Linked DNA regions of Astyanax mexicanus. The protein of the gene in region 3 purifies or fractionates together with the protein of the main gene of each other region. This does not show direct contact. Links are inferred from orthologs where the notes say so. Each region holds a gene or a part of one and is shown on either strand. Other genes may lie near its edges.

What was found.
Region 1: the proteins of histone deacetylase 2 (region 3) and smarce1 purify together in Homo sapiens (co-immunoprecipitation; 3 studies listed by BioGRID and IntAct, with this or other methods). This does not show direct contact. The link is inferred for Astyanax mexicanus from reciprocal best matches to the Homo sapiens genes HDAC2 and SMARCE1.
Region 2: the proteins of histone deacetylase 2 (region 3) and mier1b purify together in Homo sapiens (co-immunoprecipitation; 6 studies listed by BioGRID and IntAct, with this or other methods). This does not show direct contact. The link is inferred for Astyanax mexicanus from reciprocal best matches to the Homo sapiens genes HDAC2 and MIER1.
Region 4: the proteins of histone deacetylase 2 (region 3) and zeb2b purify together in Homo sapiens (affinity purification with western blotting; 4 studies listed by BioGRID and IntAct, with this or other methods). This does not show direct contact. The link is inferred for Astyanax mexicanus from reciprocal best matches to the Homo sapiens genes HDAC2 and ZEB2.

The regions. Positions count from the first base shown.
Region 1 is NC_064426.1:13,043,696-13,051,605, reverse strand, and holds the start of smarce1 (SWI/SNF-related matrix-associated actin-dependent regulator of chromatin subfamily E member 1), read right to left. Parts: upstream 3,024-7,910; 5' UTR 2,912-3,023; intron 1,620-2,911; 5' UTR 1,576-1,619; coding exon 1,569-1,575; intron 953-1,568; coding exon 909-952; intron 467-908; coding exon 362-466; intron 1-361. UniProt on the Homo sapiens protein: Involved in transcriptional activation and repression of select genes by chromatin remodeling (alteration of DNA-nucleosome topology).
Region 2 is NC_064415.1:898,395-905,267, forward strand, and holds the start of mier1b (mesoderm induction early response protein 1b), read left to right. Parts: upstream 1-3,851; 5' UTR 3,852-3,886; coding exon 3,887-3,910; intron 3,911-5,989; coding exon 5,990-6,014; intron 6,015-6,145; coding exon 6,146-6,288; intron 6,289-6,873. Other genes in the region: natriuretic peptide Na-NP-like, read left to right, coding at 232-480. UniProt on the Homo sapiens protein: Transcriptional repressor regulating the expression of a number of genes including SP1 target genes. Probably functions through recruitment of HDAC1 a histone deacetylase involved in chromatin silencing.
Region 3 is NC_064408.1:38,903,599-38,911,442, reverse strand, and holds the start of histone deacetylase 2, read right to left. Parts: upstream 3,011-7,844; 5' UTR 2,868-3,010; coding exon 2,816-2,867; intron 1-2,815. Other genes in the region: heparan sulfate glucosamine 3-O-sulfotransferase 5, read right to left, coding at 4,201-4,656, 5,858-6,320, 6,543-6,628. UniProt on the Homo sapiens protein: Histone deacetylase that catalyzes the deacetylation of lysine residues on the N-terminal part of the core histones (H2A, H2B, H3 and H4).
Region 4 is NC_064412.1:34,805,455-34,812,448, forward strand, and holds the start of zeb2b (zinc finger E-box-binding homeobox 2b), read left to right. Parts: upstream 1-3,978; 5' UTR 3,979-4,299; intron 4,300-5,907; 5' UTR 5,908-6,036; coding exon 6,037-6,109; intron 6,110-6,994. UniProt on the Homo sapiens protein: Transcriptional inhibitor that binds to DNA sequence 5'-CACCT-3' in different promoters. Represses transcription of E-cadherin. Represses expression of MEOX2.

The DNA.
Region 1 (7,910 bases), on a different chromosome or scaffold from region 3:
AGCAAGCTGAAGGGCATAGCACTCATGCAAACTAATGAGGAGGGTGATGTCCTAACACTGGAAACCTGTAACTTAAAATCAGAGTGGACAGAGTGGGCCAAGTGGTTTACAAAAGGAGTGAGGAAGAGGACAGTACAGAAGCATCTAAGATCTACATCAGCTACCCATGATATCAAGTCTCTCCTTGCTCCGCCCCCTAATATAAGAAGCCCATGTTCCAAACTAAAAGTAGTAAAACAGACTAGAGTAAAATAGCACGACTTTTGGGTTACAGCCCAGGTTGTCAGCTCGGGCAGTTCTGCTCTGGGGTTCTAGCTCCTCTGCTGCAGCTACGCAGTTTTGCTTTTTCCTTTTGTCCTACCATTACCCTGTTGTTCCCGCCGGGGTTCCCTCCCAGCCTGTAGTTGTTGTAGGCCAGATGGCTGTATGGGTTGTACCCCACAAACCCAGGGGTGGTGGGCATTTGCTGATGGAGACAAATGAGACAAAACACGAATGAGAAATGACACAAACAAGGGAGGAAGGGACAAAAAAAAGAAAAAAGGAAGATTTGTTTTTGCTTTTTTTGGTCATGATTTGCATAAGACATGCAAAAAGCAGCAATCTGACAGCAGCACAACCTGGCATTGTTTTACACCCACTCAAAGCCAAGCCACACACACTATGGGGGAAGGGGGGGCTTTAAATTCAATGAGATGGTTTTAAAATAAAAAATAAAAAATAAAAAAACTCAGCATAAGCTGGATATTCTGTAACATCTGGAACATGTACTACTGAGCCACCCCATGGAAGAATCATCATCATCATCATCATCATCATCATCCCGCAGTCCTTTCCACACTTCCAGGGGTCTTAAGGTTTGGTGTGGGTGATGTGGTCATTTATGGATGGTGTGGTGGAACACTTACTGTGGTGGGGGCCGGGGCGGGGGGAGGGGCGTACGAGGGCCGCTCTGTAAGAGAAAAATCACACAGAGGGCAGACATTATTCCATTACAATGAGACGTTTGCCATTTATCGAAGCAGTACTAAAACCTACTTATACCTCGCATCCGCTTCAGTTGAATCTTACTCACATCACTTCTACACATCACTCACAGGGTTATCCCATCAATTTCCTAAATTATCTGTGTAGTTAAACAGGTATGACGTGAACAAAGACGTTCGGAGTCGGCTTGGTGTAAAATGCTCCAATCTAAAGAAACTTGCATGGAACACTGTTCTGAGAAAAACATACACATTCATTGGTGGGCTTGGATAGAAAATAAAATGGCTACATTTGTATTGTAGTTATGGTGAATCAGTGAGTAAATTTGCTTAGAATAAGCCACAATTTTACACCAAGACCCCACTACAAATGAATTCATCAAACACAATGAATTACACAATTCTAAATGGCTGGCTAAGTTCCCCTTTAAACAAGCCGTTCCTGCAAATGGCATAGAAAGGCTGCACGGTTCAGAGGTTCACATACAGGGCCTTAAGACAACATTCATAACAGCAAAGCATTATACAGGTGGTCTCAGACAAGGGTTACAGATGACCTTCAGATAAAATTAGAGCTCTTACTTGACATCTTGTTTGCAGGATTGAGGATATCAGGCTAACTCCATCACGGTTCTACAATAGGGTAAAGATGGATTAGACATAGAGGCACGCTTTCAGTCCCATATGGCACATTAAAACATCCCTAAATGACTATATCTGCCTGAACAATTTCATGTGAATAGAGATTATACGATTTACTATAACAATACAAGCTCCTGGACTACTAAACAACATAAACATTATTAGAATATAGCTACCATACTATTTTAACTGACCAAACGAATCTAATGGCATAAACGTTATATTTAACTATTGTAACGTTTAAAGTGTATTTTGTAACAACAGAGATGCAATAATAACTCTCCCAAAACAATAACTCGATGCGATCTGTAGCTAGAAGTGCGAGCATTCGGGCCAGTTAGCAAGTTACCTAGCATTAGCAGATTAGCACCCTGTGCTAAGCTAAACCGGAATAAAAGAAATAAACGTTGCTAAAAAAACACGCAAGCTAGCTAGCGAGGTTAAGCATGTTTAGGATTGTAATACAGTAGCTAAAATTAGATTAAAAACCGGAGATAAGTAATTAAGGCTACGTGAGTAAACATTAAAGTGTTAAAAGAAATGTTATAGTCCACGTTAGCGCGTGTTAGCCTGCAGCTGAAGTTGGCTTGTCTGAATTGTTTGTGCCACCTTAAATTGTGCAGCAGTTACAGCGGGGCTTGAGAGCTGCCCTAACCTGCTGTAACCATTTAAGGTGGAACGAACAATTCAAATAAACTAATCTACCTTAGGCTAGCTAAATTTAGCTTCGGCAGTGAGAGCTAATGTGGGCTGATTTTCACTAATAATAAAGTAACTCTATATAATAGAAAACACGTCGGGTGATTGGAGTTAATTAATCTCTAAAATTAAAATACTAATTTTATCTTTAGCCCGGACTGAGGATATCCATCTGTGAGCCCAGCCTTTAGCAGCTACGGCAACCCTTTCATAGTCAGAATTACAACAAATATAACTCGTTAACCTACATTACCCCTCATGATCATAAATCACACTTACAAAGCGGTCTCTACACTTATTTTCCTAAACTGCGTAAACTGTCTGGATACATTCTGGTAAAAGCTAAAAAGCTGGAGTAAAACAGCAGCGCGGTGAGGTTAATAATCGGTTGAATGCGATGAAGCTCCGCTATCGCAGCCAAACCCTAACAGTCAGAAACCGGCGACAGATAACCCAACATTACCGACCCGAACAGCCGGGCTCGTGATCTAAGGCTCATAACACACAATATGAAGGGCGATCCGAACTTTAATTGCCAGTTTTAAAGATTAATTTTAGAAATATTGGGCGCTTTAAACACTCACCCGCGCTCCTTTGTTCCCTCCGCCTGACTCTGCACGGTCTCAGTGTTGCCCCCGCAGGCCGGCCTAAACACTGCGGCAGCGCAGCCACAGTACCCCCACAGTGTCCCACATACACTGAACTGCAGGGGGCAGCACAGTACCGATAATGTATCTTTGTCTATACCGCTCTGTAGGCTTGTGTTTTCTAGACTCCAACAAACACACGAAGAAATAATGACCTGGACATAATATAATATTACATTACATAATAAAATACAATATTTTTTCTTTAAACATGCTCTGTGTAATTACACCATGGGCATTATATCTGTAGGGGGCGTTTCCCCTTCAGCATTTAACATAAAATATAGGCCACTGCAGTTATGTGTCATTCTGTAGTCCTCGTACGGTTTTCAAAAACTTGCCTCTATCACATTCCTTGGTAAATAAATATGTTTAGAACCTTGTATGTTTTATTCTGAGTACATAATTCTCCAGAAAAACACTGGATCCTCTCAATTACGAGATCGTTTATAAGTCATTATTAGAAAAATGCTAGCTTAAAGCTAATGCTACAGCGCACTGAACCGACGTCACAGCACAGCAGCAGAGTGCTTTCTCAGTTTAGTGCAACGCCAGCAAACTCCAGTCCTATTTTTACAGCATATTACAGCTGATCCAATTAATGAACTAACTACCCTCTCTGAGGTGAGCTGGTAGGATTACAGCAGAAAATCACTAAAACAAGCAGCACAGTGTTACTCCAGAAACATTCTTTAAACACTGTGCCATGCTTTTCCAGTGTAGCTGCTGTGGTATTAGGATGCTTGATTAGAGAAACAGATGAATGTTCTATGTGCTATCATATTGGTATGAGCACTAATCAAATCAAACTAATCAATGATTCCCTGTGAGGATAATAATAAAAAACATGACCTATCCGGAGTTTGCTGGTGTCATATCTCTGCCTGTGCCATCAATTCAGTGCGCTGTAGCATGAGCTTAAAGTTAGCATTTTTCTTATTACTTAATCGATTTCATAATTCAGAGGATCCAGTGATGTACACAGAATGAAACGTACAGGGTTCTGAACATATTTATTTACCACAGAATGTGATAGAGGCGAGCTTTTGAAAACCACATTTATTTTGCCCAAAGAAAAAAGCAGTGTAGAAAGGGGACCTAACTACAAACTGACAACATGGCTGCACTGGTCTATTATGTAGCCTTGTTTAATTTTTCAGTTATTTAAAAAGAGATTTCAAGGAAATTATATTAAAACTTCATTTAAATCATCAAGTTCATTCATTTTTACAATAGTTTATTTGTGCTCACATTTTAATTCAGTAATTTCTGTTGAGATATCTTTTTAGTTGCTGCAAGGTGATTAGTTTATCTGCTTGTCAGTCAAAAGTCTAAGTAGTGGGCGGGGCTAGGAGCTTTTTTGGGAGAAGAGTGAGAGAACGGGAGAGGAAGAGAGAGCAGCTGGACTGGAAAAACATATCCAAGCAAGAAAGAAAGAAAGAAAGAAAGAAAGAAAGAAAGAAAGATAGATAGATAGATAGATAGATAGATAGATAGATAGATAGATAGATAGATAGATAGATAGATAGACATCCAGCAGCAGGTGTGTATAGTACACAAAGTTACAAAAAGATAAAAAAAATACAGTCTTTAGTGTGTGTGTGTGATGTAAAATGGAGGTAGTGCAGTTGAACACAATAGACAGCGAACACCAGTTGATGTGCATAAAGTAAGGATAAGGATAACTGATGTCCGCCATACAGAAAGTGCAAACACAGTTATATAATAATTTAAATTTAGCAGTGCAAATGATACGTAAACAGTAGATGAATGAACTAGTGAATGAACTACTAGTGCAAAATAGGGTAGAACTATAAAAATAGTGTTATGGGCATCAGCAAGATAGTGTGACCATAGATGGGGGTATGTCCATGGTGTGGACAGAATTGCTGGAAAGAAAAGGTGTCACAGAGTCTTCAGTTTGCTGTGCTGAGATGAGTTGAAAAGTCTTATGGCCTGAGGGACAAAAGACTTTCGAAGTCTGTCTGTGGAGCAGGACTGGGACAGCAGTCTGCCGCTGAATGAGCTCCTCTGCCTGGTGATGGTGCTGTGCAGAGGGTGGTGAACATTGTCCATGATGTTCAGCAGCTTGCTGAGGGCTCTCCTCTCTGCCAGTGGTGTTAAGGACTCCAGCTCTAGTCCCAACACAGAACCAGCTTTCCTCACCAGCCTGTTCAGTCGTCCAGCGTCCCTCTTGCTGATGCTGCCTCCCCAGCACACTACAGCGTAAAAGAGGACGCTGGCTACCACAGACTGGTAGAACATCAGCAGGAGTTTCTGGCAGATGTTAAAGGACCCAAGCCTTCTGAGGAAGTACAGTCTGCTCTGGGCCTTCCTGTAGAGGGAGTCAGTGTTCACTGACCAGTCCAGCCTATCGTCCAGGTGCACACCAAGGTATCTGTAGGACTTGACCACTTCCACATTGACCCCCTCGATGGAGATTGGCTGCTGAGCAGAGGGCCTGGACCTTCTGAAGTCTATGCACATCTCCTTGGTTTTGGAGATGTTCAGCTGTAGATGGTTCAAAGCAACTGGCCTGTAGTCATTCAGCTCCTTCGGGTGTGCCTTCTTAGGAACTGGAACGAGGCAGGTTGTCTTCCACGTGGCAGGAACTCTCCCTAGACGCAGACTCAGGTTAAACACATGTTGGAGGGGCTCACCCAGTTGAACAGCACAAGCCTTGAGCATTCTGGGGCACACTCTGTCCGGGCCAGCTGCCTTCCTGGGGTGAAGTCTCCTCAGCTGTCTCCTGACTTGGTCTGCAGTAAAGGTTGGTGGACTGGAGGAGCTGATTTGTCTGCTAGCTGATAGTGTTGATGGTGGTGACGATGATGATGAAGAAGATGGTGGGGGTGAGGGTGCTGGTGGTGATGATGATGATGAAGAAGATGGTTGGGGTGAGGGTGATGGTGGTGATGAAGATGGTGGAGGTGAGGGTGATGAAGATGATGATGGAGGTGATGAGGTTGGTGGTGGTGGTGGTGAAGATGGAGGAGAGGGTAATGGTGGTGATGATGATGATGAAGATGGTGGAGATGGAGATGATGATGGTGGTGGCGGTGGAGATGGAGATGATGGTAAAGATGCAGGGGGGTAGAAGGAGGGGGCAGCAGGAGCAGGACAGTCAAACCTGTTGTAAAAGTTGTTAAACTGGTTTGCTCTGTCCACACCCCCATCTGCTGGGTTGCCGCTGTTGTTCTTGCACCCAGTGATGGTTTTCATCGCACCCCAGACTTCCTTTGTGTTGTTATCTTGCAGCTTTCTTTCCACCTTTTTCCTGTAAGACTCCTTGGCCTCTTTAAGACGTACCTTGAGTTCCCCCTGTACGCGCTTCAGCTCTACCAGGTTTCCATCTTTGAACGCCCTCTTCTTTTGGTTGAGGAGGTCCTTGACGGTGCTGGTAATCCAAGGTTTGTTGTTTGGAAAGCAGCGTACAGTCTTTGTGGGAACAGCAACATCCATACAGTAATTCAAGTAGTCTGTAACACAGTGAGTCAGCCCCTCAATGTCCTCGCCATGTGGGTGCAGCAGCACGCTCCAGTCAGTGGTGTCATAGCAGTCCCTTAGGGCTTCCTCTGCTTCAGGAGACCAGACTCTGAATGAGCGTGTGGTAGTGGGCTGCCTCAGTACCAGTGGTTTGTACTGAGGCTGTAGGAAGACCAGGTTGTGATCTGATCTCCCCAGCGGTGGTAGTGGAATAGCCCTGTATGCATCCCTCACATTAGCATACAGCAAGTCTATGGTTCTGTTCTTCCTGGTGGGACAGTCCACAAACTGGAAAAAGGCAGGCAGTGTAGAGTCCAGCGTTACGTGATTAAAATCACCAGTAATCACATAGATATGGCAAGCCAACTAAGCCAAAACGTGTGGGAAAGAAACGCCTCCACGCGTAAAAATATGACGTGTCCACACGTAAAAAAATCACGTGTACAGGCGGTAAAACTGTTCGTGTATACACGTTTTGGCATCTAACATCCAATCGGTAAACGCGCCTATGCATACATTTGCATTGTAATAAGGCAGCCTGACAACACATGATGTCATGCAACGTATTGTATTCCATATTCATAAGACGCTTACGTGGGTTACAACGCAGTGTCTACGTACCGTGACATAGCCCCATACATACTCATACACACTCTGCACGCAAGGTCCACATAACTGAAACGTTGTAATCATGTGTCTATGATGTACCCCCTATTTCACATAATGTAACCCCCGCCATTTTATATCCATAGTGTTTACCCTGCCTTTAGGTCAGTGCAATCATGGCTCTGCAAAATTTTCCGTTGAATTGTAGAACAGTTTTTGCTGACTGCACAAGGCTTGCAATGTCAGACCATGTTCAAAATACGCCTTATAGAAGGCGTCAGGGTGCTGTGTCTGCAGCGCTGCGACGGTGGAGTGGATGACGTCACACGCCGCCTGTACGTCCGCTCTCGGCTGAATGTAAACACAGACGAGGATCGCATGAGAGAGCTCCCGCGGCATGTAATAAGGTCGGAGACTCACCGCTAACAGTTCAATATCCCGACAGCAGATCACCTCCTTCACGTTTACATGTAGCTCCACGTTAGCATCCGGCGTGTTGGGGGTGAGCCAGGTCTCGGTGAAACACAGCACGCTACACTCCCTGTAGAGCTTCTGATTCTTCACCAGACACGCTAGCTCGTCGGTTTTGTTGGTCAGTGAGTTGACATTCCCCATAACCACCGACGGAACTGAGGGTTTGTACCTCCAGCGCTTCTCCGTACTCTTAGCCTTTAGCTTAGCCTTTAGCTTAGCTCCGGCCCTACAGCCTCGGTAATTCCTCCTTAGTTCCCCCGGTATTGAGTGGACAATGCCCCCACGTCCCGCGGGTCGAAGGGCCAGCAGTTCTTCACGGGAATAAACACGATATTCCTCGCTGGTTATCGGACAGTAAAACCACCTGTGT
Region 2 (6,873 bases), on a different chromosome or scaffold from region 3:
GTGTGTTAACTTGTCTGTGTGTTAATTAACCTGTGTTACCTGATTGTTAATTAACCTGTGTGTAAGTGTATGTGTGTGGTACATTTTTGGTAAATAACCAGTGTTACCTGTATGTTAATTAGACTGTGTGTTACCTGTATATTGATTAGACTGTGTGTTACCTGTGCAGAATTAACCGTACATAAATTAACCTGTATGTTAATTACTTTCTCTTACCTGTCTGTGCTCCAGGTGCCAGCAGCCAACGTGACGGTAACTGTCGCCACCCTGCGGGCTAATGTGACAGGTGTGGTTCAGGAGGCGGAGTCACGAGGGAGGAGCTCAACACCTGTACGGAAAAAACCTACAAACAAACAAACGAACAAGCAAACGAACAAACGTGAGAAACGTAAAAACTGCTTCGGGTTTAAGATGGACCGGATCAGCGACCTGAGCGGGATGGGCTGCAAAACGGCAGAAGTGGCGCCACCTGGGAATTAGAGTGGAATTACAGCCTGAGGGGGCGGAGTTTACAGTGCTGAACGGACTAAAGACTGGATACTGATATATTACCCAGCAGCCCTGTGGAGATCCTGAACACTGTATCACACTTCAGTGACGAAAAGCCCCGCCCACTTTGCATCTCATTTTTATTTACGTAGAGAAGAAGGAGGCGGGGCTACACTTAGGAATGAAGTGATTGACAGCCTCGTCGAGTTGTAGTCCAGCTTTCTGATAGCTAACTAGTTACAATACTAGAGATAATGTTCCAGGATGCTAATGCTAGTTAGCATCACAACATTATTATAAAGTTTCTCACATAACATTCTTTTAATAACATTTCTTTTATTTTATTTATTATTACTTTTATTTTTTATTCTAATGTTTTATATTTTCATTCTTGTTCTTAGTTCTATTATTCATTTTATCATTTCTTACCATTCTTAACATTTTACTTTACTTTTACTATTATCTTTTTACTTATTTTATATTTTACTTTTTATGTGTCAATTAGTTTTTTATGGTATTTTAGAATTTTCTGTTGTACATTTATATTTTATTTATACATGTTAAATGTTGATTTAATATGTAGTACTTTTTTATTATTATTATTTTTTTACTACTTGATTCCTTTTTATTTCGAGTTTATTATTAAAGGCTTTTAATCCCTTTGATGTTGTAAATTATCAGAAACATTCTCTTAATGTTTTTTCCCGAGTGAAAATAAAGCTTAATTGATTGATTCCCATCCTGACGAATATTAACATTATGGAAACGGTAAAAGTTAAAAACTAAACATTTGAAACACTGACACAAGTGATGTTGCAGCAATGTTACCACAGCGTTAAAAAAAAATAGTCAAATAAAAATGTTCTAAGAACATCCATAAAATCCATTTTTTGTTAACTGTAACGATTAAAAAACATAGTAAATAGTAAATAGTAAAATATTGATTTAAAATTAGTACTTTTTTTTTTTTACTATTTTATTCATTTTTATTTCGAGTTTATTATTAAATGCTTTCAATCCCTTTGATGTTGTAAATGTTTGGGAACATTGTAAAATGTTAAATATCATGTTAAATAAAAATGTTCTAAGAACATCCATAAAATCCGTTTTTTGTTAACTGTTCTACTAACTAAATATTGTTAGCTGGAAAACTAGCTAACACCCAATCGATACGGTAAAAATAATATTATTTCTATTTTTTTCCCATTTTCTCCCCAATTTACTCAATTACCCAACCCACTCATTAGGACTCCTCCTATCACTTGTGATGCTCAATAGTATTATTACTCTCCTCACATTTACAGTATGTTCTGGTCTGGATCGAGTCCTAACAGCATTTAAAACATTATTTTTTGCTCTCTATATAAAACGATATATAGAGTATATTAAGTTCAGTAATGTTACAGGCCTCAGGCCCATGCGTCGCTGCTGCAGCTGCATCACTGAAAGTTTATTTTATATCAGTAACACTGATGCTATTATCTGATTATTGTTATTATTTTTATTACTATTTGTAAATACTTTCCTGCACATTTGTTCCTGCTTATACTGTACGTGTATAGTGTGTGTTAATATGTATGATTTGTTTTTTTGTTTTAAATAAAAAACAAATAGTCATGTTGGGTCAGTTTCCAGGTCATGAAATTAATGATGGGATTAAACCTAATCTGGGTCTGGGAAGATGATCCCGATGAAACTGTCACATAATAACACTGTTATCTAAATAATAAATACTGTTCTTTTATACCTTTTGACTTATTTATTTTTTATTATTTATTTGCTGCACTACACCCTGCATACCATATTCCCAGTTTACAAAAGATATTGATTCATAATTTATTTATCATGAAAATTATAGTGACATTTAATAAGATTTTTTCATCAACTAATAAAAGCTAAATGAAAAGGTGAAAGACTGACAAATTGGATACTTATCTATAATAAACAGTATTATTGATCAGTGATCGGAGTGCCCCACATATTGTGTAAATATAGTGGTTAATTAATAAAAGTCCAGATACAGAACGTCAGTAATGTTAGTAGAAACCTGTACTGCAGTAGAAGTGTTTAATTTTTAGTTACTTGACTTTATTTTTCTCATCTTTATAGCGTAGTTGCTTTAAAACCTTTTAATATTAGCATAATTTTAATGTACCGAAACCTAAAAGCTATTTGTTTTAATAAACATTAATAATAAATAAATAATCTCAAAATAATAGTACAAATCTAAAACAGTACAACAATAAATCTGTACATAAAAATCTGTTTTATTAGATTCTAAAACTAATGATGACTAAACAAGTAATATGTGACTAAAACTAGTATACATTTCAATTAAAAAACTGAAACTAAATCAAAACATCTGTCAATATTCACACCGTAACAGAGAACGCTATGAGAACGTTTATCAACGTTTTGAAACGTTTCATGAATGTTTCTCTGCTAGACCAATACTAACATTACGGAAACATTTTCAGTACCATCAACTAACATCAACTAAAAATTAAAACATTGACACAAGTGATGTTACCAGAACGTTTAAAAGTGTTCAATAAAAGATTTTAAGAACATCCAGAAAACTTGACAGATTTGAACGTTTTAAGAACGTTATCTGTAACTTTCAGAAAATGTTCTACTAACCAAACCAAGCTCTGCTCTTTCACTACTAAGTATAAATATTTGTATTTTATTAAAGATATATCACTTTTATAAGTTACAGAGGAATTACACCCCCCTCTGTTTACCTTATAAACATTAGTTGACAAACTATATATTATAAGATTTCTCCTGATAAATTATTTTTCAGATTCATTTATTTATCTAACTGCTTCTTACCTCTGTATTAAATTAACAGCTTAAATAAAACAATGAATCTACTGAAACTAATAAAAATAAATAAATAAAAATTAGCTTAAATCAATGGATAGCTAGCTAACTTTCCCATTCCACCTTAAATGGTGCAAAAGAAGGTAGAGGCTGCAGTATTTAAGGTGGAACTGAAAAATAAAATAAAATAAAAGCTAATTTTAGCTCCTTAACACCCGGTCTGAGACCTGTTCTAGTCCATATTATGGCAAAAACTACTCAACTAAGTAACGACAAAAATGAGTTTAGGAAAAAAATTAAGTAATGAAACAAAATCCCCTATGAAAAAACGTTATGATGGAACTGGCCCTCATAAGTTTGACCACTTCATTATTAATTTACAGTGTAGGAAAAATAATAAAATTAAAATAATAATAAAACAACCAAGGAGAATGTTTCTCCATACATATATATGGTGCTGTATATTAATTTATATTAATTCTAATTTATTAATAATTAAAGCAGTTTAATCACTCTGATCAGCTCTGCTTCATCCGGGTCTTCCCGCGGCCCCGCCCCCTGAGTGACCCGTATGCAGCGGCGGAATATGGCGGAGGTAGGACGGAAACTCTCCTGATTTCTCCTAAAAACAGGGAATAAAGTGCGGGATTTCTGCGGTCTCGCGCTCTCCCCGCGCCCCGCGCGCTCACCACGGCCCCGCACTCAGCCCCGCAGCGGCGCGCGGGCAGTACCGGGCTTTTCCCGCCTTTAAACTTGTTGATTTTAACACAAATACCCGCCACTGTAAACTTATTAGCACTGTTAGCCTGTTAGCGGATTTCAATCCGGATTAAAGCGGGTTAAAATAAAGCGCATTCCGCGGCGGCGCGCGGGTAGTGATGTAATAATACGGTTTTATTATTCCGGTGTTTTTTATTCAGTAATATCAGTTCTGTGAGCGGGTTACGGGCTGCAGTGTGTTAAATCTGAATCTGAGATAATGAAGCTAAAGCTCAAACTTCCACACTGTTCCACATCTCAATTCGGATCTAAATCCGCATTTAAATACACTTATAGGGCTGATCATTCACATTATACTGCATTTTAAATCATATAAATATAAAAATCAGTTTTACACTGCGAGTCTGCTTCACCAAAATCATCAGTTTATCTGTAATTTGGTTTAAAATTAAGTTTATTTCAGTGTAATTCAGTATACTTTGCCCGTCACTCCAGATTATCAATTTATATGACGGACAAACTTAATTATTTTTCCACTAAATTCAGTTTTACAGACTATGACCAGGTTGTTACATTAATACGTATTCAGTTTCATTTTATGTTGCCAGTTTATCACTAATTCAGGTTTAAATTCAGTTTAATTCAGTGTAATTCACTATATGCTGCCTATCAATCCAGATTATTATTATATACTGAAAGTCAAATCTTCATTTATTCAGCAAATGAAATAAAACTCCCTAAAACTAAAGCTGTTTTAAATATATTAATACTGTAGCTTGAATGATATTATATTTTAATGCAAACTAAACTGTACGTATTTATTAACTGGAGAGAGAAGGCAACTGTGGCTGATTTTAATACAGTAATGCCTCTAATGTCTTCAGAAAAACAATATAAATTGATATATATATTTTAAATACTTAAATGCTGAGTATATTGGGTCCATTTGTAGTGTTTATGGAACTATTTAAAAAAATAAGCCATGTTGAAGTTGTTGCATATCTTTTTCTAAAGTCTATTGTTCACATTCTTCAGCTGTTTTTCTGATAATAAAGTCTGAATAAGATAAATAAGATAAAATAAAAATACTGTGATATACATTTTTGGTCATACCGCCCAGCACTACTGTGTGTGTGATGTACAGCACGACGGTGGATTTATACTGTTCGTATCTCTGTTGGAATTATCAATTATACTGTAGTGACCTAAGTTCTCCAGCTCTCGAGAAAATTAAAGATATCACTTCAGTTTCTGAATCAGTTTCTCTGATTTTGCTATTTATAGGTTTATGTTTGAGTAAAATGAACATTGTTGTTTTATTCTATAAACTACAGACAACATTTCTCCCAAATTACAAATAAAAATATTCTCATTTAGAGCATTTATTTACAGAAAATGAGAAATGACTGAAATAACAAAAAAGATGCAGAGCTTTCAGACCTCAAATAATGCAAAGAAAACAAGTTCATATTCATAAAGTTTTAAGAGTTCAGAAATAATCAATATTTGGTGGAATAACCCTGGTTGGTTTTTAATCACAGTTTTTAATCATGCATCTTGGCGTCATGTTCTCCTCCACCAGTCTTACACACTGCTTTTGGATAACTTTATGCTGCTTTACTCCTGGTGTAAAAATTCAAGCAGTTCAGTTTGGTGGTTTGATGGTTTGTGATCATCCATCTTCCTCTTGATTATATTCCAGAGGTTTTAATTTGGTAAAATCAAAGAAACTCATCATTTTTAAGTGCTCTCTTATTTTTTCCTAGGTCTATATATATATATATTGTGATTTACGTTTTGGACGTATCATCCAGCTCTGAGCGTTAGTAATCCTTCAGGAACTGTGAAGCATCTAAATTATTGTTGAAGATGAGCTGATCATTCTCTGACCCTGTCTCTCTCTCTCTGTCTGTCTCTCTCTCTGTCTGTCTGTCTCTCTGTCTGTCTCCTGCAGTCCTCCTTGGGGAATTCAAGCCCAGGTAAGCCTCAGTCTGAAGTTGTGGGAGTTTCTCTGAGCAGATCTGTATCAGTGTAGATTGTGTTTTTGATTTCTGGTGGTTGTGAGGTGTTGTGGTGGATCAGGGCTGATGGGGGCGTGGTTCTGCTGCAGGGGTTTCGGTGGACTTCGACCCTTCGGCTGAAATGCTGGTGCAGGAATTTGACGATGAGCGCACCATGGAGGAGGAGGAGCTTATGGAGGGAGAGACCAACTTCCGCAACGAGATCGACGACCTGAACAGAGTGAGTAACAGAGTGAGTGCATCATTCCGTCATTTCATCATTATATCACTCCATCATATCCAGCCGGGTGCTTATTTCCAGCCTTCCATCTGTTTCAATGTGGAGAGGCCAAAATACTGGAAACCAAACGTCAGATTATCATTTCAGAAACATATTTTAGAACATTTTCACACCTGAAAATTCAGACCAGCTTCTGCACAAAAGGTTTATATGTTTATTATCAATCAATCAATTGACCTTTATTTCCACTCGGTAATACCAGGGTTCCCACGGGTCCTTAAAAAGTCTTAAAATACCTTAAATTAAAATCTTTATCATTAAAATCTTAAATTAGTGTAGTTAGTGCAGAGCTAGCTAACATTAACGGGAGAAAACTAAGGTTAGCTGTGTTAACTTTAGCAACGAGCTAGCTAAGATACTAACGTTAGCGGCGAGTTAGCTACGTCACTGTGGAGAAAACCAGGGTTAGCAGAGACCTAGTTAACATTAGCGGAAAGCTAGCTAACATGCTATATTCTGCATCACAATGGAACAAAATTGATAAATGCAAAACGTTGAGTTTTAATTTTCAATACACTAAATTATTTTCTACTTAAA
Region 3 (7,844 bases):
GAAAACCTGGAATTAGCCTGGCCCAAGCTGATTTTATACTTTAAAATTAACTGGCAACATGGTATAACGAGCCATAATGCACAAAAAAATTGAATATAAAGCTGATGTTCTAGTGTGATTTTGAAGGACTTTTTAATCTTGGGCCAGAACAAATACACATGATCTGAAGAGTACTAGTCTTCTACTTTGAGGAAAACCTGGAATTAGCCTGGCCCGAGCTGATTTTATACTTTAAAATGAACTGGCAACATGGTATAACGAGCCATAATGCACAAAAAAATTGAATATAAAGCTGATGTTCTAGTGTGATTTTGAAGGACTTTTTAATCTTGGGCCAGAACAAATACACATGATCTGAAGAGAACTAGTCTGCTACTTTAAGGAAAACCTGGAATTAGCCTGGCCCGAGCTGATTTTATACTTTAAAATTAACTGGCAACATGGCCTACCGATCCATAATGCACAAAAAAATTGAATATAAAGCTGATGTTCTAGTGTGATTTTGAAGGACTTTTTAATCTTGGGCCAGAACAAATACACATGATCTGAAGAGTACTAGTCTTCTACTTTGAGGAAAACCTGGAATTGGCCTGGCCCAAGCTGATTTTATACTTTAAAATGAACTGGCAACATGGTATAACGAGCCATAATGCACAAAAAAATTGAATATAAAGCTGATGTTCTAGTGTGATTTTGAAGGACTTTTTAATCTTGGGCCAGAACAAATACACATGATCTGAAGAGAACTAGTCTTCTACCTTAAGGAAAACCTGGAATTAGCCTGGCCCGAGCTGATTTTATACTTTAAAATTAACTGGCAACATGGCCTACCGATCCATAATGCACAAAAAAATTGAATATAAAGCTGATGTTCTAGTGTGATTTTGAAGGACTTTTTAATCTTGGGCCAGACCAAATAAACATGATCTGAAGAGTACTAGTTTTCTACCTTAAGGAAAACCTGGAATTAGCCTGGCCCAAGCTGATTTTATACTTTAAAATGAACTGGCAACATGGAATACGGATCCATAATGCACAATTGTTTTTATGTAAAGCTGATGTTCTAGTGTGATTTTGAAGGACTTTTTCATCTTGGGCCAGAACAAATGCACATGATCTGAAGAGTACTAGTCTTCTACTTTAAGAAAAACCTGGAATTAGCCTGTCCCGAGCTGATTTTATACTTTAAAATGAACTGGCAACATGGTATAACGAGCCATTTTGCACAAAAAAGCCACTGTTCCAGTACAATTTTGAAGAATTTTTTAATCTTGAGCCAGAACAAATACACATGATCTGAAGAGAACTAGTCTTCTACTTTAAGGAAAACTTGGAATTAGCCTGGCCCGAGCTGATTTTATACTTTAAAATGAATTGGCAACATGACATGAAAGCCATTTTGCACAGAAATAATGAATATAAAGCATTGATTTTGAGAATACCAGAACACTTCATCTGATGTGTATTTGGTCTGAAAAAAAAGTCCAAAATCATACTGGAATATCAGCTTTAAATAATATTTTTTTTGTGCTGCCATGTTGCCAATTAATTGTGCAGTCTAAAATCAGCTCGGGCCAGGCTAATTCCAGGTTTTCCTTAAAGAAGAAGACTAGTACTCTTCAGATCATGTGTATTTGTTCTGGCCCAAGATTAAAAAGTCCTTCAAAATCACACTAGAACATCAGCTTTATATTCAATTTTTTTGTGCATTATGGATCGGTAGGCCACGTTGCCAGTTAATTTTAAAGTATAAAATCAGCTCGGGCCAGGCTAATTCCAGGTTTTCCTTAAAGAAGAAGACTAGTACTCTTCAGATCATGTGTATTTGTTCTGGCCCAACATGAAAAAGTTCTTCAAAATCACACTTGAACATCTGCCTCATATTTTTTGAGCGCAATGGCTTTTAAAATATAATTTTATTAAATATATATTTAATTATTTATTGTAATATATAATTATAAATTCAGTAATTAAAATAAATATTTTACAATATACAAAATTACATTTAATACGATATTGTATATTTACATTGTTAATAAACAGATGTACTGCTTTTCTTCATTCTATCTCCTTCAGTGTTGATCTGTGAGGTGTTTAATATAAACAGCGGGTGTTTGTGAACGCTCCCTTTAGTTCACGGTGGTTCAGTGAAGCGGCAGCTGCGAATATCAAACCAACTTCAGCCGGGGAATACGAGGCTGCGAATATCGAGCCAAACGAATCTGGAGCTGCGAATATCAAACCAACTTCAGCCTCGTTAGCTAGCGTTAGTAGTTACTACACGCATGTTGGCTTCGGATCTTTCCAGTCCACCTTAAATAGTGCACCACTTAACACTCTGTCGCCTCGGTCGCCCACAACATTAGTTAGTTAGCTAACTGACCGTAATTTAAGGTGGAACTGAAAATTAGTAAAAGGCTGTTCAATACGATACCAACTGCAACCTCGCAAATAAATAATAATACAGTGTGTGTGTGTGATGTGTATGTGTAACAGGTACATAGAGTGTGTGGGAGGGAGGGAAAGAGAGAGAGAGCTGCAGTCCCACAACGAGACACAAAAGCGCAGCGCCAGTTAGCATTAGCACTAGTGCTAATAGAACCCACATTCAGAATAGCTGAGGTTTAATCAGGATTTCTCACACCCGGTTATATTTACTGTCTCTGTTTATTCTTTCTGTCCCTGTACCCATTTAACGTTACTCCTTTCCCCCAGGCCCTCTATCCCTCTCTCTATCCCCCTCACTCTCTCTCTCGCTCGCTCTATCACTCTCTCTCTGGCGGGCAGGCCTGAGCAGCGCTCCGTTCCCTCTTACCGTCATAATAATAGCAGACTTTCTTCTTGGTGCCCTGCAGAGTGAACGCCATGCTCCACACACACGATCCCCGCGACCAGAGCGCGCTGATTAGATTAAATACAGATTAAAATGTAGCAGGAGCGGTGGAGAGAGACAGGTAACTACAGAGCTGATGAGGAGCACGGAGACGGAGGAGAAGGAGGAGGCGGGGCCTATTCTAATCGAGGGCGGGGCCTGCTTAGCACCAGCGCTCTCTGATAGGCTACAGGGTTACTCTGATAGGCTACAGTTAGCTGTTAGCTAGTTTGGCCTATATTTGAAGACACAGTGGTGCTTGAAAGTTACAATAGTGAACAATTTGAAATTGTCTATATTTCTGCATAAATGCGACCTGAAACATCGTCATAAAAGGTAGATAAGAGAACCCAGTTAAACAAATGACACAAAAAAAATTATACTTTGTCATTGAGGGCGTTTTCACTCCAGCACTATTTGGTTAGGTTAAAACAGACTCTGGTTCGTTTGTACTCTTAGTGCGGTTTGATTGAGCAGGTGTGAAAACAGCAGTCGCACCTGTACGGATCCAAATAAGCAGATAAAACCTACTATGAGGATCTGGTCTCAGTTCAGTCCCAAAAAAAGCTCTGGAGCGGTTTGCATCATGGTGAGAAAGTGATCTAGTCTTGATCCAACCCAGCCAAACTGCTGATAAGGCGCAGTTGAATCTGATATATTAGCCAGATAACACTAATTATTAGAGACACAATATTTATGCATAGATAGATAGATAGATAGATAGATAGATAGATAGATGTACATACAGTTAGATAGATAGATAGATATAGATAGATGTACATACAGTTATACACATAGTTGGATAGACAGATTATTACATTTATGTTATATTTATTATTTATATTTATTATTTATTTTTCATTATATACAATGTGCTGTCCACCTCGTCAAGCTATTAAAACAGAGACTGATTGAATTGTACTGTATTATGAGAGTGGTGCATTATAGTGATTAATTCAGTCAGAATTAATTATTAAGGAACACAAGAAGGGCATCATGTATAGTACACTTCATCATTAAACAATCACCAACATTAACTTTACATTTGATCAAATCCCCATTTTAGATCTCACAGCTCAGCTTATTAACAGTCAGGGGGGTTCAACATGTGTAGAATGCAGACTAACCTGTGTTACTTTTGTATATACTGTGTTTGTTTATATGCAAGACGAAAATCTTATTTACAGGCAAACATTAATGCATTTAGTAAAAAAATAGCTCTACATATTTCAAAGTTACAAAGTTATGTTTCATCTTAATTGCTTATAGTTGTAAGCAGGACAGCAGTTTAGCACCCCCTGGTTAAAAAGATCTGCCATTCGACCTCCTCACGGCCAGTCAAATTTCCTCCCAGTCATCTGGTAAAATTTCTGGTTGAATGGACGGTAGAAGCGCCTGAGCTTATCCAGCACAGCCAGGTCCACGTCCGGGTGTGGCCGGCCCTTGCTGCCCGCCAGGCACTTACTGAAGCGGCGGCTAAAGCGCAGGCAGTAGAAACCCCGTGTAGAGTTGAAATACAAGTTCTCTTGGCTGATACCAGGTGGAAGGTTCAGGAACTTCTCAACCAAACGGAGCTCAGGCAGCGGGTCTGAGATCAGCCTGTCTCCATCCACCACATGAAACTGCTGGACGGGGAAGAACTCCAGCCAGTGCTCCAGGTGTTTGGCGTAGATGCTGGTGCGGACAGCTTTGTACTTGGTGTTCACCTCCTGGGTGCTGGGGTTGATGGCCAGCACCTCAAACCTGGGGTACGTTTTATTCTTGCGCTCTTTTCCCTCCAGCACCTACAAGCAGTGACAAGAGAAACCAGGTTTTCTGAAACTGTACAAGTTCTGACTACTAACATGATCTTTTTACAGCGAGAGAGCTGACTGTCTGACTGCAGCTCAAACACACTGCATATAGCTAACCTGTTACTACTGCCACATTAAACCATTCTTTTTGGAATTCTGTATATTTTTGCTCATATTCACATTTGAATTTCACAAGAGAATGGCAGAATTTGCATTAAAAAAGTAAAAGAAACATCCCAGTTTCACCAGAGTTGCATAGTGCAGTTAGCAGAACCCAGAGTAGCCACCATAGGGATGCTTTTCTCCACATTACAGGTCACTGGAGCAACACTATGATTTTGATCTTGAGTTTTTGAACTGGACTTTCCATCTGGACCTTTTAGTAGGGCTGCAGTGATTTGTCAAAATTAACGATAATGTTGATTATTAAAATAACTGATACTGCAGTGAACATGACAAAATGCTAAGGAAAGAAACTGTGGTGGAGTCAAAGACTGCTCACTCACTTAGTCAGCTTGGTATTCAAAAGTGACAAACCCAACTGGGCATCTAAATCCCATGTTCAGCTGTTTCTTTCTTTTTGAAGCGAGAGAGAAAGCTAGGGTTGGTAAGCAGAGATGGAGGTGAGGCTGGGTGAAATTTTGAGATTTGAAGAACGAGACGAGACAATATAGTTTATATTGATATAGATTATTTTGCATTCCAATATGCTCTGTCATTTCTCCTCTCTTCTCTCTGCACATATATCAAGACATTTTTTTTACTTTACCTAGCACTGCGTGCTATATCTTTAACTAAGGCTGTATCTATGAAAATATTTTGTCCTTTGAGTTTTAGAGCTGTAAAATTGACTGTGGGGGGAAGGCAGGTAGGTGTTCTCTGCCGCAATGCTGTTAGCCAATCAGAGGTGATATTTTTGCATGTATGAGTATTCAAGAGCAAGAGTTGAAATCCTGTCTTTCTTCAGAGACCACTAATTCAGTGAACTAAAGTAGGGCTATACAGAAACACTGGAGCACTTTTTTTCACAAAAAAACATCTCACATGGCATTCATTCATACTAGAGACCACAACTAGACATTTTAAAATTAACAAAAAAACTATGGAATGAGACCTTTAAAGTCATGTACCATGGTAATTTTAATATGTGCCTCACCACTGTTTCGGTGTTTTGAATATAGTGCATCTTTACCTGTGTGTAATCAGAGATTGCACGAATCGTTGGCTCGCGGACGATCACCAGCAGCTTTGTGGAGGAATTCATCCTGAAAATCCGCTCCGGGACCTTCTCCGTCACAAAGTAGGCGGGGCTTTTCTCAATAGTGATTTGGCCAGTGAGGGAGAATGGCATCCTGCGGCGGTACCAGGCCACACCCCTGCCATAATTCTGATCACTGTCGAAGAAGTGGACCTCCTGTGAGGCCTTGACCATGGCGGGATGAAGGCTCAGCATCTCCAGCAGTGCACGAGTGCCACCCTTCCTGACTCCAATGATAATGGCATGGGGCAGCTCCTGGATCAGGTGCCCCTTAGTGGTGTTGCCCCTGCGAAGATCCTGCCGAAGACCCCGCTTATACTTTGGTGGTCGAAAGGGGAACTGCACTGGATCACGAGCAGGGTGTGGTCGGCTCTTGATGGGGCAGATTTGATGCAGCCTGAAGATAATTTTTTTTACATCAGTGGGTTGCAAGCTTGTGGGTGTTTTAATATTATGAATATATTTAAGTTGTGTGGGAGTGTAAAGTGGTGGGGTTTAATGGGTGGGTGGGTGTGAGGGGGTGAAGTGTAAGGAACTGACATGTAAGATGATTGGGTAGAGCGTGGGGAGGTATGAAGTGGTGAGGTATACAGTGGTAAAGTGCAGGATGAATGCTCACCTCTCCAGGTGAACTGTGTGAGTCAGCAGGTACAGCAGTGTCCCGAGCACCAGGCTGAGCAGCACAGCCAGCTGGGGGAACAACATCTCCCATCATCCCATCACACACACCAACTACACCTGCAAAAACACAAAAATATGATTTTGTATTAAGAATTCATCATTCAATATGCAGCACTCAGAAACTAGTATTCTATATTAAACGTTCAGAAGGTCTGTATTCATTCTGTATATAGCATTCTGTATGCAGTATTTAGCGTTCAGCATTGTTGAGCATTATTAGTCTTCAGTGTTCACTATTTAATGTTCTGTATTCACTAGAGTGTATTCAGTCTTAAGCATTCAGTATAGCATACAGAAAACAACATTCTGTATTCAGAGTTGAGTACTGAGTATTCTACTTTTAGTGTTTACTGCAGCTGTAATTGGCTGTTGTGAGCCTAATGTAAAAATTCTTTCAAGAACTTACAAGCAGAACACTGTAACCCCTGCTTCCACGCAGAGACCACACCAAGCACAACCAGGTCCTTCATCATAACTGTAGGACTGCAGCTCTTTACAGAGAGCTGTAGGAAGAACTACTAATAGCTCCATGCTAGCCTGGACATTTCAATATCTTTGGCTCAAACATGTAGAAACACTGTGGTTCTGGGAAAGCCAAAGGCATGCAGTTACCTCTATTAGCCTCATAACTGAAAAAATGTATGGGTATAAAGTGTGAGTTGCAAATCCAAAATGGCAATTAAGACTCCAAAAGGTTCAGCCACTATTATCTGAGGATCGCTAATTCCTTATCATGCTGCTTACCATCAGCAGTCAGAGCCTAAGAGAGCACTATTTTGCACTGTTTGCAGTCTCAGGGGTGGGTAGATGGTGCTCTCCAAATGTAATATTGGTCAGCACTGGCGTCTGTTATCTGATGTATAGAAGTCCAAGAGCTAACCAGTAATGCTGCATTAGAGGCGGATCAAAAAGAGACAGTGGTTGACTTCATGTTTCAGAGGAGGTATGCACCAGTCTTCCCCTTCCTAATATTGAATGCATTAATAGTGATAGAGGAAGTTCAGCTGATTAGGGATTGCCTTTCAAATCGGGGAGAAAAAAGACAACAAAAAGAAACACAGGACTAAATAAGACACACCTGTAATTAGTCAGTACTCATGTGAGCCAGATTGTGTGAACTGATTCTCAATAGATGAAAGGCAGTGACAGAAATTCTGGGTTCTCCTGGGAATTGGAATAATGTTTGTAAGAGAACTGTGACATATATAGATAGAGTGACCTATAGACCTTTCAAACACCC
Region 4 (6,994 bases), on a different chromosome or scaffold from region 3:
AGAGAAAACACTCTGAGGATGTTCTCAGAGACAGGAAATAACTTTCCCCCCTCCCTCTTTCTCTCTCTCTCACACACACTCTCTCTCTCTCTCTAACTCTCTCTCTCTCTCTCACACACACACACACACACACTCTCTCTCTCTCTCTCTCTCTCTCTCTCTCTCGCGCTTGCTCTTTTCCTACCACCTGTGTGTACTCTGCTCCATCCCTGCTGCAGATGTGAGATTTTCTGGGACTTTCTCATGGACTTCCTTTTCTCTACTGGTTGGGAGAAGCCAAAGGGAGCAGGCACTGTGAGAGAGCACACACACACAGAGACATATATATATATATATATATATATATATATATATATATATATATATATTATATGTCTTATAAAACACACTTCCGGATGAACGCATACATCCACTTACTGTCCTTACTGCTGTTTTCAGTCTCTTTTCTCTTTAATAAATGAATAAATAAATTAATGAATGAATGTGAAACTATGTTGGAGCGACGTGAACAAATTTAGATTTACGAATAAAGATTTATCTCCAATGCCTGATCTGATAACATCAGATATTTATCTCCTGTGCCTTTTTTTAAAGAGATTATTCATTGGACGTGCTGCCTTAGGCACGGCACATTTACAAATACTAACTAGCAAAATAATGTAATAACAGTGCTATATTTAGGGCTACATGATATTGATAATGAAAAAAAATAATAATTATCTGTTGTTTTTAATTATGTATTGTGATATATTTCATATCTAAATAAATACAGGAGTTTGCACCAAATACACCAATGATTCAGCAGGTTGTGATATTAATAATTCCTTATACGTACTGAAGACTGAAAAAATGTACTGAAAAAAAAAATGAGCCAATATATTCAGCTCCAGGTAAACAGGTCAATATAAATTTTTGTGTTTTGGGATTGATTAAATTTGCGTTACATTCGCACATATGCAAGTCCTGCAATGTGAATACTGCACATGCAAACATTGTTATAATAATGATGATGATGATAATGATAATAACATTAAAATGATATACTATGCAACCCTAGCTGGAATAAGCTGTATATGTCTGTATGCCTTTATTGTGCTTCATTTCAGTCAGTTCAAAGACTATATTAAGAACAGAACAGAAGGGCGAGAAGACCGAGAAGACGACGACAGTCTACAAACGGGAATGTGAGGCGTTTACATTTGACAGACGAGACGTTTTTCCTCCGCTTGCTCTCAACCCTGCGTTTACAGTAGTTAAGCATGTTTAAGCATTCCTGAATACTTGATATTAAAGCTATTTTTAATATATTTTAGCTGTAAAAGTCTGTTTGATTAATGTCTGTCTATTGAGAATGCTGACTAGAGAACGTATTCTCGTTAAGGTGCCAAAAAAAAAAAAAACAACCATATTATGTAATTAACAAAGCTTTGTGTCTTAAAAATGGCAGTATTACAAAAAATACTTTTAATAAAAGTCATTTTGCTAGTCATTTTGCAGCATTTGTATTGGTTCACTCATCATGAAATATTGACACAATTTAATTTTGTGTTAAAAAAGGGGAGAAACTGTAAAAATGAGTATACAACCATAAATATGATTACATATATGTTTGCAGGCATTCTATAAATGTATACATAAAGCATGCTATTTCTGATCATAATGTGTATATAATGTGTCATATATAAATGTCAGCCAAATTAAGTCTGTATTATGCGACTCATCATACAAATAATAAAATAATATTACAGATGTGATTGCAAAATAATTATGATTTATTTATTTATTTAAACCTGATTAATCTGTTATCTGCTATTACTCGTTCGCCTGAATGGCAGCACTGTGCCAGACATTCGTAAAGGTGTCATGAAGAGATCAGGTCAAGCCGCAAAAAAAACCAATGAAAGTACACACATATATATATATACTCACAGGCACACACACACACACACACACAGCTTTCAGAGGGAGGGTGCTAAGGGGTGTCCTGTTTCCTCTCTTAAACCAGGAGGAGCTGCTGAGGTTGGGAGGTTGGAGGCTGTGTGCAGTGAGATCGGGGCAGCGATCAGCCTGACAGCGAGAAAACAGAGCAAAAAAGAGAGAAAAAGCAAAAAAAGAAAAGAAAAAGAAGAAAAATGTTTAAAACTCATATAAGCCTGAGATTTCTCATTTCACATTATATATTGTTATATAATGCAGCACCTCTCTATATGTGGTTAGTCAGTGTGATATGCATGTAATCCAGTACTTACAGTAAGTGTAGCTGCTTTCTGGGGATCCTCCAGAGCGGAGGTCTCTGCTGCTCTACCGGGACTGTGAAGCCTGAGGGGTAAAATAGTCAAACCCATCAGACTTATTTGATAGAAAAGACAGAAAACACAATAAAACTTGTCTACAAATTTGTTGAAAGTAGTAGAGCAGATTACACAGTGCCAGTAGGCTATATTTAATTAACATAATTAACAAGTATAATTTTTGTGTGCATACAACAGCAAAGAGCATATATAACAAATGTACTTAAAACAACATCAAAATGACTATGAATAATAAACAAAACAAAACAAACAGAAAAATATATATATATATATAATTATAATTATAAATTGTGAAGATTAAGTAAAAATATTTTTAAGCAAAATTAGGATAAATATTTTAGTGATAATAATAATAATAATAATAATAATAATAATAATAATAATAATAATAATAATAATAATAATACCTGTGAATTTCCTGCCTCAGTCCCGTTGACTGGAGCTCCCCCTCCCGCATCTGCCGCCTCCTCAGCTCCAGATGTTGAGGATGTTAAGGCACCTTTCCCGCCTGCGCCCCGGTCTGATTGGCTTTGAACAAAAGCATCAACTGATCCTGCAGCCCCGAAACCCCCCACCCCCAAAATAACCCCACCAAAACAAGCCCCCCACCCCCGCATCAGCCCCTAAATCTCCCCCTCACCCCCCGGATTGATGATTTAATTATCCCTCCGGTAGATGAGGACGGAGGGAGCGCTGCTTTATTTACCCCACCAATCCCATCCCCTCAGAAAAGGTGGGGCTTCCCAGTCTTCCGTCGGATTCTAGCGGACTACGAAATAAATAAATAAACAAATAAACAAAAAAAATAAACACATTTTAGAAACAGTCATAACCGGTTCATAACCACGCCCAGCACGGGCGCGTGCCCATTTTTTTCTTTTTTCACATTAGCTTAAAAATTCCCGTGTACATGTTCCTTTATGTGCTAAAACGGTTTAAAATAGATTAAAAATATTCTATCACCCCAAACAGAACAGTATTACTTTACTTCCAGCTTAAAAATAACCGGGTTTTTTTTGTTAAATCCATGTCGGATTTTGTTTTACCTGTTTCTTCTTACCTGTCACCTGGCCACCTTCCCTTTAAGAGCGGCGCGCGTGGCGCGAGCCCGAGTTGTGGCGGGAAATCCGCGCCGCTTCTGAGGCGACGACGGGTGAGGAAAGTCTGTGAGGGAGAACTCGGCAGCACAACGAGGCTTAAAACCGAATTAAAACACAAACCCCACCGAAAAAGACGACTTCTTTCCCTCTTTTTCTCGTGCCGGGGAAAACTCTGACTCGTCTCAGTCTAAAACCTCGTCCTTTCTGGTGTTTAAATCTTTTGTTATTAAAATATAGCTACATTTGTTTTGTGAAGATGTTCCTCTCCGTCTTCACGTTAGCTTAGCTTTACTTAGCGTATTTATTTGGAAAGGTAAAGCGAACAGGTCGGGGTTTGGTTTCTTTTGCCTGCCGCGCTGTAAAAAAACCGAACGGGGAAACGGGAAGGGGGAAAAGGAGGAAAAAAGAAAGCGAAGGAAAAGTTCTCACGGTTCCCAGAAGATGCTCACGTTTGGTCCTCCTCAATTATCCCTCCCCGTGAAGATAGGTGGCGCGTGTTTCAGCCTCTTCTCGCTCTCCCCCATTCTCTCTCTCTCACTCTCTCTATCTCTCTGTGTTACAGCAAAGAAAAGGAGAGAGAGAGAGAGCGAGAGAGAGAGAGAAGAAAAAAATGTCATTAGAGGAGGCGTAACACGTCAGTCCGTCCGCAGGTTGGTTTCCTGGAGTGGCTGAAAGGGATCAGTCCCAACCTGCGCGCCAGGAATAACGCTGCTCCAGCTACAGCCCGGGCTTTTTACCCTTTTTGCCACATTTTACCCCACGGATCCGCTTTCTTCCCCCTCTTCCAAAAAAAGCCCCGCCACGGCTGCTCTACAAACCCCCCTTTTTTCTTTCCTTTTTTTATATTCCTTGCAACCAGCTCGACTAAGACAAACGTAAACAACAAGGTAAGACTTGTTTCCTTCTCTCTTTAAAGATGTGCAATTTATAGGCTTCAAGACTTGGAATATGTATTTAGAAATAAAGTGAATATTTATATTTATAGATGTAGTTCAAAGTGGAAGATGAGAGTGGGAGTGCGCTGGAGAGATGCGCTCACCTTTAAGTTCACCTGTACAGGTGAACTTGAAAAAAAAGTGTGCTTGTCGTTTTTGTAATTATTCAATGGACGATTTATTAAGATCAGGATTTATTTATATGAACAACATCTGAATTCTTAAAAAATCAATTTTGTACATTTTTCCCATTATTGTGACTTTAACAAATTCAGTGCTGTATATGGATATTAATATTTTTTAAAGTTACTTCTCCCTTTGTTGTATGTCAAGCTATGAGGATGACAGATAAAACAAAAATAGATATTAATTGGTATATTTTCACAAATATGATGGGACAGTGAGTGGTGAAATCTAACGGTGCCTCGCGCCGTATGTTATCTTTGTACACTTAGTCTAAATCGCTTTTCCCTGCTCTGCCGTCCTATTACAAGACAAACTCCTGCAGCAGCACAATGTTTTAATGATTTTACTAAAATAGGACATTAGAATGAGGATGATGAAAAAAGTTTTAATTGTTTAAAATTAAAGTAGTCAGCAACTATTTATTTTGCTTTTAAGTGTTTGTACTTTTCAAAAAAACAAACACACAAAACAAACATTATAACACCCAAGCAAACAAATGGTTTATATTTTAGTGAACTAAAAAATAATAAAACATTATTAACAATAATGATTATAAGGTATAGCAAAATACGTGAAAATTGTACTAGCAATACTATCACTACTACTACCACTAGTACCACTAATACAGTTTTGTAGTAGTAATAATTGTAATAGACAACAACAAATTTAATTCATTAAAGTTTTTAATCGTTTTTTTTTTCTTAGCCAATTTTTTCCTTTACATTACAAAATACTTAATACTTTCCCAATGGTGTCTACATTACAGTTCACAGTTAACAGTAAACTGGTAACACCACAATTTCAGCACCAAATGTTATGTATATTTAAAGTCCATTTTCCACAAACAAGTCTAAGCGTGTAAATAATATCCCACACAAATTTTCAGCGTTAAGATCTCTCCTGTTTACCGGTCCTATGTGTGAATACACTTGTTTACTTGTTTTATCTCCTTTTATTTTGTGTGCAACAGTTTGATATATGTATAAATAAGCTCATCACCAGTCCCGGCTCTGAAAGCAAACTGAGACAGCAGTCTCCCTATAGTATTTAATACTATTTAATTCATGCCTACATTTAATTTAATACAGTTATTCCTACAGCCGTGCATGTCCCATTGAAGCAGTGGACCCCGCCACCACCCACCACCGGCGGTGTGTAGCTCCTAGCCCCCCGCAGCCCCTCACTCACTCACCCGCCCACGGTTTGGGGCACTTTCGTCTCCAACGTTCCGTTTTATTTTCTACGTTATTTCCAAGCGCTGATGCGGATGGTCCAAAATTTGCGCCTGTACGTACCTGCGCGTGTGTGCGCGCGCTTTTGCGCTAAAGAGAGCAGCGCCTGCATTGTTGTTCTGTGTGTGTTTGGTTTTGCCAGAGACTGAGGCTGCGCGCTGCTGACTGACTGACTGAAGGAGTCGCGTCCATGCGAGCTGCTGCCATCTGATCCAGACACACACATCCACACACACACACATCCACACACTCACACACACACTCCCCATCAATGAGGCAGCATATCATGGCGGATGGGCCCCGGTGTAAGCGGCGAAAACAAGCCAACCCGAGGAGGAAAAACGGTAAGCTGAATTTATTAAATAGTAGCTTAATAACACTGATAGTGGGCTGAAGAGCGGTGGTCGTGGTGGGACTGTGAGTGTCTCTGTGAGAGAAACAAGGAGTGAGAGAGTGAGAGCGAGAAAAGGAGAGAGAAGAGAGAGAGAGTGTGTGTTGATGGTCGGAGGGTGGGGGGTAAAGCTCCGGCTGACGGGACGCGCATGGACGCGCATCGCGTGATACCGTTATTTTGTTATTACCGCTGTGCATCTCCTCATTGTGGGGTTAAACGAATCGGTTTCAAAGGGAAAGCGAAGCAAAACCAGTGTTGTCCACCACTGGCAGAGCTTCTTTTGTGTAGATCTGATTTATTTTGAGGCGTGCTTTCAGCTCGCGCTGTTGGAAGTTGGAGCGAGTGGAGTGGAGGAAAAGTTTTGCAGCACGCGGCTCGTTTGCTTCACGCTACAGAATAAAAAAGCGCTTTTAAAGTTGCGTGTCAGTTTACGCTGTTGTAAGGCGCTCTAACGATGGCACTGGCGTCAATAGCGATTTGTATGATAATACGGCTGGCAGCACGCTCTCTTGTTTGTGGGAGGAATTATTTTAATAATAATAATAATTATTATTATTATTATCATCTGATACATCTAATAGCATCAGCGGTCGTTTTCGTTCATTTCATTTCGTTTCTGGCAATTATAAATTAAATTGGATATAGCTAGATAAAGCTCATGGAGTTGATAGTTATAGGAAAACACTTTTCTTTATAAATTGTACTTTTGTGTATAATGCTTTTTATGTTGCACACTTTTATTCCGTCGCTTTTCTCTTGTTATTATTCTAAGTGACATTTGAGCTATGGTGTGTTTTATCGTTTTTAAAAGAGTGTGTGCCTTCAGTATTGTGGT